2 linked regions of the Saccharomyces cerevisiae S288C genome follow. Changing the gene in region 1 together with any one later gene gives a genetic interaction. Each region holds a gene or a part of one and is shown on either strand. Other genes may lie near its edges.

What was found. A genetic interaction does not mean that the proteins touch.
Region 2: mutations in ATP10 (region 1) and VHS1 together harm fitness more than expected from each alone (negative genetic interaction), as found in Saccharomyces cerevisiae (3 studies listed by BioGRID).

The regions. Positions count from the first base shown.
Region 1 is NC_001144.5:904,894-908,970, forward strand, and holds ATP10 (Atp10p), read left to right. Parts: upstream 1-2,185; coding exon 2,186-3,025; downstream 3,026-4,077. Other genes in the region: ART10 (Art10p), read right to left, coding at 1-1,412; SUMO ligase CST9, read left to right, coding at 3,057-4,077. UniProt on the Saccharomyces cerevisiae protein: Essential for the assembly of the mitochondrial F1-F0 complex.
Region 2 is NC_001136.10:954,217-957,898, reverse strand, and holds VHS1 (putative serine/threonine protein kinase VHS1), read right to left. Parts: upstream 1,887-3,682; coding exon 501-1,886; downstream 1-500. Other genes in the region: YDR248C (gluconokinase), read left to right, coding at 1-141; YDR246W-A (uncharacterized protein), read right to left, coding at 2,566-2,766; TRAPP subunit TRS23, read right to left, coding at 2,952-3,611. UniProt on the Saccharomyces cerevisiae protein: Probable serine/threonine protein kinase involved in the G1-S transition.

The DNA.
Region 1 (4,077 bases):
ATCAGTAGCTGTAAACTGAATGTTCTTTTTATCGTGCATGTCTTGAAACTATACAACCTATTGCCGCGATGTCTATAGTCTTCTTCATTAAATACCAACTTTCTTAAAATGGGGTGATCCTTTAACCGTAATTCACATTCAAACATAGAACCATCAAAATTTTCTCGTATTTCGTTTAAGTCCAAAAGAGGTTTATTGGATTTGAGCTGATTCAAATCAATCTCGATTAGCTTCAAAGAAGAGTAATTGCCGTTCGCTATTCCCTGAGATAAATATGTTGTAGTCTCTAGCAAGTTCAGTTGTAGTTTAAGTGGGGTAATTTGCATTTTGCTCAAACTTGCTATATTCCCCTCCATGACTACATAGACCTTGTCAAAATTTTGGCTGCCAGACCTAAACAAGTAGTCTTTCCTGTATATTTGCTTCAAATCTCGACTTCTAACCTCTATTCTCATATTGCTTTCCCCATCAGGCAACCCCATTTTATAAGTAGATGGGAAAACTTTCATACCATTTACTAGGCGAGTAGATTGTCTTGTTGATGTGACTGATGATACCGGTCTCGATCTAATGTCGCCGTTTTCTATCAATATAGAATTAGCTTGAGAAAAGTTCCTGTCACTTTTTATATATCCGACTCCATTAACGACTTTGACGTCCTTTGATGGCACCTTTAAATTTGAACTATTGAAAAATTCATTGTTGGTGACCATACTATTTCCTCTACTATTGTTACTGAAGGCATTAAGTTCTTCATTGTCATCTTCATCAGGTTCTATAATAAGATCTTTTGGCTCAGGTATAAATTCGAACGTCTCGATTTCCCTTATCAGTTTATGGAATGGCTTAAACCAAGATGAAGATTTCCCTAGCTCTAATTGAACTTGCACCATATATATAACTTTTCCAAAAGAGTAAAAATACAAATCCAGATTATCGATTTTATTAAATTCTTGCCAATGACTATTGAACGTAGGTGGGAGTCGGGCATTACTTCTTGTCACAAACGCTACTGTCTTTGCCGTATGATTTTTCAGACATTCAGGCTTTCTGGGAAACTTGTCAAATTGAAAGCTATAATTATATGAACCTGGTTTAACTTTGAACGGCTTGGAGGAGCCATCAAGAGCATTCCATACATTATCTGGAGGGAAAACTCTCTGTTCGAATTTCATTAATGTATGAAAGGATTTGTTGTCTTGGCCCGGCATCATCATGCCATTCTGTTGAAACATGTACTCTTGATCAATTTTTGTTAAGGTCTCTGAGAATCCTTTTAGAATGACGGAAATTTTCCTTATAGATAGCGCTTTTGTTAACTGAAGACTAACTATCCCTGACATTTGATCATTAGAGCTATAAAACTCCCCGTTGTACGGTGGGTTTAAGGATATTGAAATTTTTGGAGCCATGGTTTGACAAACTGTATGGTTCTCAACCTTCTCTAATCAAAAGCAGAATCTTAAATATAAACACTCACAGAATATCCGTTGGTCAATGAAGTAATTCTCCTTTGTACTGGCTGCTTTTTCTCCTCTAGTTTATGTAATTCTACTTTTGGATGGGTGCGACTGCTTTTAATTGATTGAGTGGCGGTGTTAGAAGGGCTGTAGAGTCGAAGGCTTGTTTCTCTCTTACGCACCTCTTGTGAAAAGGGCGTGCACCTTCCCCAGGACCCTCTCTCACCCTCAACCCGCATTTTGCTGAGAATTTTCACCAAGGCCCTAGGTGATATTAGATTCCACCTGACTAATTGCATTACAGCCGACCCAAGGCAATATCAGTTTAATAAAATATCATGTATCTCACCCTCTTCTTGGTATTAGTAAAGAGACGCCTGATCTTGTAACAGTGGTGAAGATTGTACTAGAGCAGAATCAAGAATTTAAAAAGTGTAAAGGCAAGGCAGAGGCGATGTACATAAAACTTCGAAGTAAGAAATATTTAATAGTTCTCGCCACATCACTATGCAGCTATATAAAAACTACTATAAACGTTTGTTTTGTTCCTTACGCACAATATCCTTGCCTAGAAATCGTTTTTGAAATTTAAATTTTTATTACCATTTATTTGATTCGCCTTCAGAAAAATATGGAAGAGTGCATATTTAAAAAGGACTATTTCAGCATATAGTAAAAGTCAGGTTATTTGTTTATTTGCGATATCAGAGTAACTTAAACTAACTATGCAGGGCACTTTTAAAAGGTTTTACCATCCCACGCTTACGCGGATGTCCTTCTTGGATAAATTCCTCAAGCCTATGATGGCAACGGCTTCCCCAAAGGAATACCAGATCAAACAACTGGTCAAGCCAATAGGCTTAACACAAGCACCAAGGAAAAGCACCAAATACTCCCAGGGGAACTCTTTGAGGGATATGTTTGATTCGGAAAAGACAAACCACAGAGTTAAAGAGTTGGCCGTTGAATTCAGCAAATCTGGACTTTATGACGTGCAAGTCTTCCAAAAGACAAAGGGGAAATTGTTTATAGCTCCAGTTTCATATTGGAAAGAAGATAAAGCTTTGTTTTTTCCTCATTTGATAGGAACGGCAATGGATGGTACGAAACAACAGAATATCGAGGATATGTTAAGGGGTAAAACCAGTATAGTGAGGTTATTTAGTACAGCATCTGGCGATAAGTTGAGTAGTTCATACTTCCAAGGAATCGTAGACGATAACAAAAAAACTGACTACTTGACTGAAGCTGATGCGCGTTTAAGTTTAAATGACAGTAACGTCCAAATCATCGAGGTCAATCTTGTAGAAAACGCTGTGAAAAGTGCTCTAGTGAAAACGCTTGCTCGTTGGGCCAATCGCGTTCCATCCTGGCGCCAGCCATTTTATTTCGAATGTTCTAGAGGCCAATGGCCATTTTCCGTCAGGGAAGAGCTCTTTTGCAATAATGTCTTTTCTGGATACGTCTTTCTTGTGGACCAGCAGTTAAAAATTAGGTGGGCAGCTTGCGGGGAGGCTACTCCATCTGAAAAGGAAGCATTGTGGAAGTTTGCCAAACGTCTGTGAAGTTGACGCTTTGTGCGGCGGCCAACAAGGGATGGGCGGCTATTTGGCGATCGTGTTCATTCCCCAAACTAACACGAAGAGCATGAGAGAGAAAAAACAAAAGTGCTTGAAACAGGTAAGACGTTTATCATTGATATCACCAAAGAAATATATAATGCCGGATTCTATTTTTGAACAGCCCTTTGTTTACTGTGGTGTTTGCCACAGAAGAACATCGCATGGAGATCCATTGAGGCTGACCTCATGTGCTCATATCCTCTGTTCGCAGCATTCTCCATTAACATCAAAGGTGTGTCCTATATGCCGTTCGAGCGATATCTCCATCATTAACCTTGTGGAATCTAAACAGCTGCCTACCGACATTAGGATTTTTTTTGAGCCACTGCCCCCACTTTTGGAGTCGTTATATAATGTTTCCCAATTCCAACTGAATGGGCTTTCGAAACAGTGTCAATACTATCAAAATCATTGTTTAAAGTTGAGAGAAAAATGTGCAAGACAACAGCAGCTGCTATATCAGGCCAAAATAGAGTTGGATTCTATGGCGATTCTTAAGAAAAGAATACAGGAATTAGAGTCAGTTTTGAATCATAACAATGTTTCTTCGATGTCAGTTGGTGTGCTACCAACAAGAAATAGCCATCAAAATCATTACCAGCCCCCTCCAACCGTTGATCTGACAGTTGATGATAATAGTTTAGAAGAATTCGAAGCCAAATCCTTTATTAAAAAGTTGAAAAAAAACTCTTCTTTGAGAAATTCTTCAAAAAATAACAATGGAACTGTCACTCCCTCTACAAGTGGTCGTGTAAATAAAAACCAGCCTCTCTTTATGGAGACATTGAATAATCCTAATAGAAATAGCATTCCTCCTCCTGGAATGAACCCAAACGCAAATAGTAATCTACCTAATATTTCGACTATTGCAGAATCAACCAATCTGAACAGATTTTCGTTCTCTCCTGTGCGTGTTGCAAAAGGCTTCGATGGAAAGTTGCCAAATCTTGACATCCTCACGAATAATGGCTCTGTATCTTCCAAAAATATATCAA
Region 2 (3,682 bases), on another chromosome or scaffold:
TCTCAATTCAGGGATCTGGAGTTACCAGACATCAACGACGAAACTGACTGTGACATTGTTCCCTTAGATTTCAAAACGTTTTATCAAATTGAAAAAGATGTTATACAGGTGGTAAAAAGTAAAGTTTTGAATATTGAGTAAATAACGCTTGGATAAAACGAAGTAAATATTAGAAACAGTTATATAGAAATTAAATACGGTGACCTGGAAAATTAACAAAGACAGAACAAATGTGAATGAATAATAATAGCAACTTCCAAAAAAAAAAAAGGGGTTACAGGGATCAACAAAAAAAAGCAAGAAAAAAAATGAATAAAGGGAATACCATAAAAACAAATAACATTAAACGGATGAGGGGGTCATAACGGAAGTGTGAATATAACTACAACTTGCTTTGGCAAGTAATATTTTCGGGAAAACAGATGATCATCAAGAGAAGGTCTATCAATTGTGGGCTTAAAACAGATGTGTAGTACACTTTTGTGCCAAAAAGGAGGGGGTTAGTTAGTTAAAGAAGAGGAACTCATGCGAAGTTCGTTGAATTTTTTTTCGAACAAGGAAAATTTGTTGGAAATCTTAGAACATTCGTTATCGGACTCGCAAGAAGTGCTTGTGAACGAAGAATGCAATCCAGTGTCTGTGTCTAGCGTTCCGAAACTGCCACTGCGACTGCCATTATCATCGTCTATCCCTTCTTTGATTCCATCTTCTTCCTCACTTGAAGATGTATAAGATAAATTCTTGGCAGCTTTACTATCGTGCATGTACACGTAGGATTTTGGAGACAAATTCTCATTCGTGTTATCGACGGGGCTAACGAACTTTTCATAAACAGACTTGGAAAGAGGCGGCACTTTTGATAACGGGCCTTCATTGGTGAAGCTTGTAATAGAACTAACTTCTTTCATCAACTCTTGCAAGCTCATTCTATTCTTCGGATTCACTTGTAAAATCTTAGATAATAATGAGTAAAAGTCATCGGAAAGCGGTAGGATTTGCTTTAGTATATTGGGATCCTTAGTGAAATAATAGTAGGTATTATCCTCGGTTTTGTCAGCCTTCAGCCAGGGATTTCTGATGCATGTCAAATTGATAAGGATGATACCTAATGACCACAAATCGCCATTACATGAGGGACAAACCTTACCCAACTTATGTCCCCCACTTTTAGAGCTGGAAACTCTCCCATCAAATGAGATTCTTTCAGGGGGCATATAATACGAGCTACCAATGCAAACATTTGGCTTTATATATGTGGAAGTAGTGGATAGACCAAAATCGCATAGGAAAACGTTATCTTCTGTATCCAGTAGCAAGTTTTCAGGCTTGATGTCACAGTGGTAGATGCCGTGCTCATGGCAATAATTAAGAGCAGAACAGATCTGTAGAAAAACCTTTTTTACTAGCAGTCCATTAGTGACAAAATGTCTGTTATCTACAATAGACGTGAATAGGTCTGTTGGGTAATAATCCATGACAATGAACGTGCAGACTGCAGATTGTAGCACCTCATGTATGGTGACAATGTTCTTATGATGGTGGACTCTTAGGTGTAGCGAAATCTCTTTATAATGGGGCAGCTTTTTAAAATCTTCTTCTGACATATTCTCAATTGATTCTAGATCTATAGAGGGCACCCTGACAACGTTTTTCGATTCCTTGAACAGTTTAGCGAGCTTCTTTTGCAATTTCACGCTATTTTTGTGTATTTTATCATTGCCCATATCAGCCTCCTTGCTAACACCGTAACTTTGAACAACCGCTTTGATAGCGTATTGTCTATCGGTACGAATATCTAAGGCACGGTAAACCAGACCGTACGCGCCTTCGCCAATTTGAGAAGTTATTAAGTAGTTATTAATTCTGCAATTATGGAACATCATCATTACTTTTTTCTTTTTTTTTTTTTTTTCTTTCTCTTATTTTATTTTACTTTAGTATTTCACCTTAGTATATTATCGTACAGTAAATGTTAAGAACTTTTGTAAACGTAACTCATAAAACAAAAAAACAATGGTAGCGCCAACACCAGCAACAAAAAGAGGTAAACAAAAATATAATAGCAGTGACACAAATGTAAAAACGCTGTAAAGCTAATAAATCAAGTCTTTTCTTATAGCACTTGTAAGTATGAATAAATATCAGTGAGTCTTAAGGTGGCAACGGTAAGGGAGGGAGAGAACCAAAGCAGTTTTAAAATTAAAAATAAAAATAAAGGTTTAATAGCACTATAATATGGCACACTAAATTTAATTGAGGTACGTTTTAGGCTCCAGTATAAACAAAAGGGCACCAACGTCAACATGTATAAATAATAATAAATAAATCGGCGAAAACGTTCCAACGTGCGGCCGCTGCTTGGCAAATTAACTGGACGGGGTTAAGTGGCAAGCCGCGCGAATTAGCGGACGCGGACCTAGATACACAAGCGAGGACTGCTAAGTTAGGCCATGTTGGCGGGGGTAGTGGCGGTGGTGGTGGCGGCATCCCTTCCCCACGTTTTGGTCCCTTTAACGTAACTGGTAAAAGTAGGATCGACTACCCCTTTTGGGTTACACTTTGGTATCAGTCATCCATCAGCGGAAAAAATGGACAGCTTTGACTATCCCTATTGTGTACCCGGTTCCGAACTGGTGTTTCCGTACTCACGTGCCGAAAGCTGCGTAATAGTGCATTGGCAGGATATGATGTGATGGATTGTATGGTGTTTCCAGGGCAGGAAGGGAGTAAGAAAAAGGAAGCAAGATGACGATATAGGCGGCGCATTTTCTATCGCTGGTGTTGGGATGCAGAGGATCCGTCGCAGTGTGGTCTTTTTTCGTACGTAGTAGTAAAAGCTATCCCTATTTATGAAGGAGGAGACGGAGAGCGGCAACTTCTTCTTAGTTCTAGAAGTACGTAGTATTTATTTTCTTGGTGTGAATGCGTTTATCTTCCGATGGCGCGTGCGTCTATTGTAGGTTTTCTACCATTTTTTTGACTTTTTCGTCGAACAGGTTAGATCTTATAGGCATTTCCATTGAGTAAGATGGGTCTTTCATGACGTAGTCACTATACAAACAGTAAACCTTCCTTAGGAAGTTGTCGGCTATTTGGATGGCCAAATTGGATGTACTCTTGGGTCGGTCAGGCTTGTCGGTGGTGGCTATAGTTGGCTGTCTCTGGGGCATGACGCTGGAGCTGATAGCGACAAACTTCAGGCCGGTTAGGGTCTGATATATGAACATCGTGAACTGATCCGTGCATAGTTGTCTCAATCCGCTCTTGTTCCAGTTCGTAAATGGTTCTTTGAAAAAATCATCTCCTTTAAAACTGCCCAGTTTTTCATTATTAGTGTGTTTGTTGTTATTGCCACCTCCATTTCTTGTATCGCTCCTATTGCTGGACATGCCCACGTAAGGTATATATGGGATGGTATTTTCGATGTTCGTTTGTTGAGTTAGCTGTAATGCCTTCGGAGTCAGCTGGCTCGCGATGGCGAATACACCGTGCAGTGTACTAGCAAGAATTAAGTATTCATTGCTGTTCAATTTCTGTTCGTCGTTGGTAAAATTCCGCTGATAGATTAGTCCGCCTGATTTGTTTATTACAAGTATTGTTTCGATGGCCATTTCAATTTTTCCCGTTTAAATCCAACACTAAAATTGCACTTTTGAACTTATGCAAAGGCAGATTCCTTTTT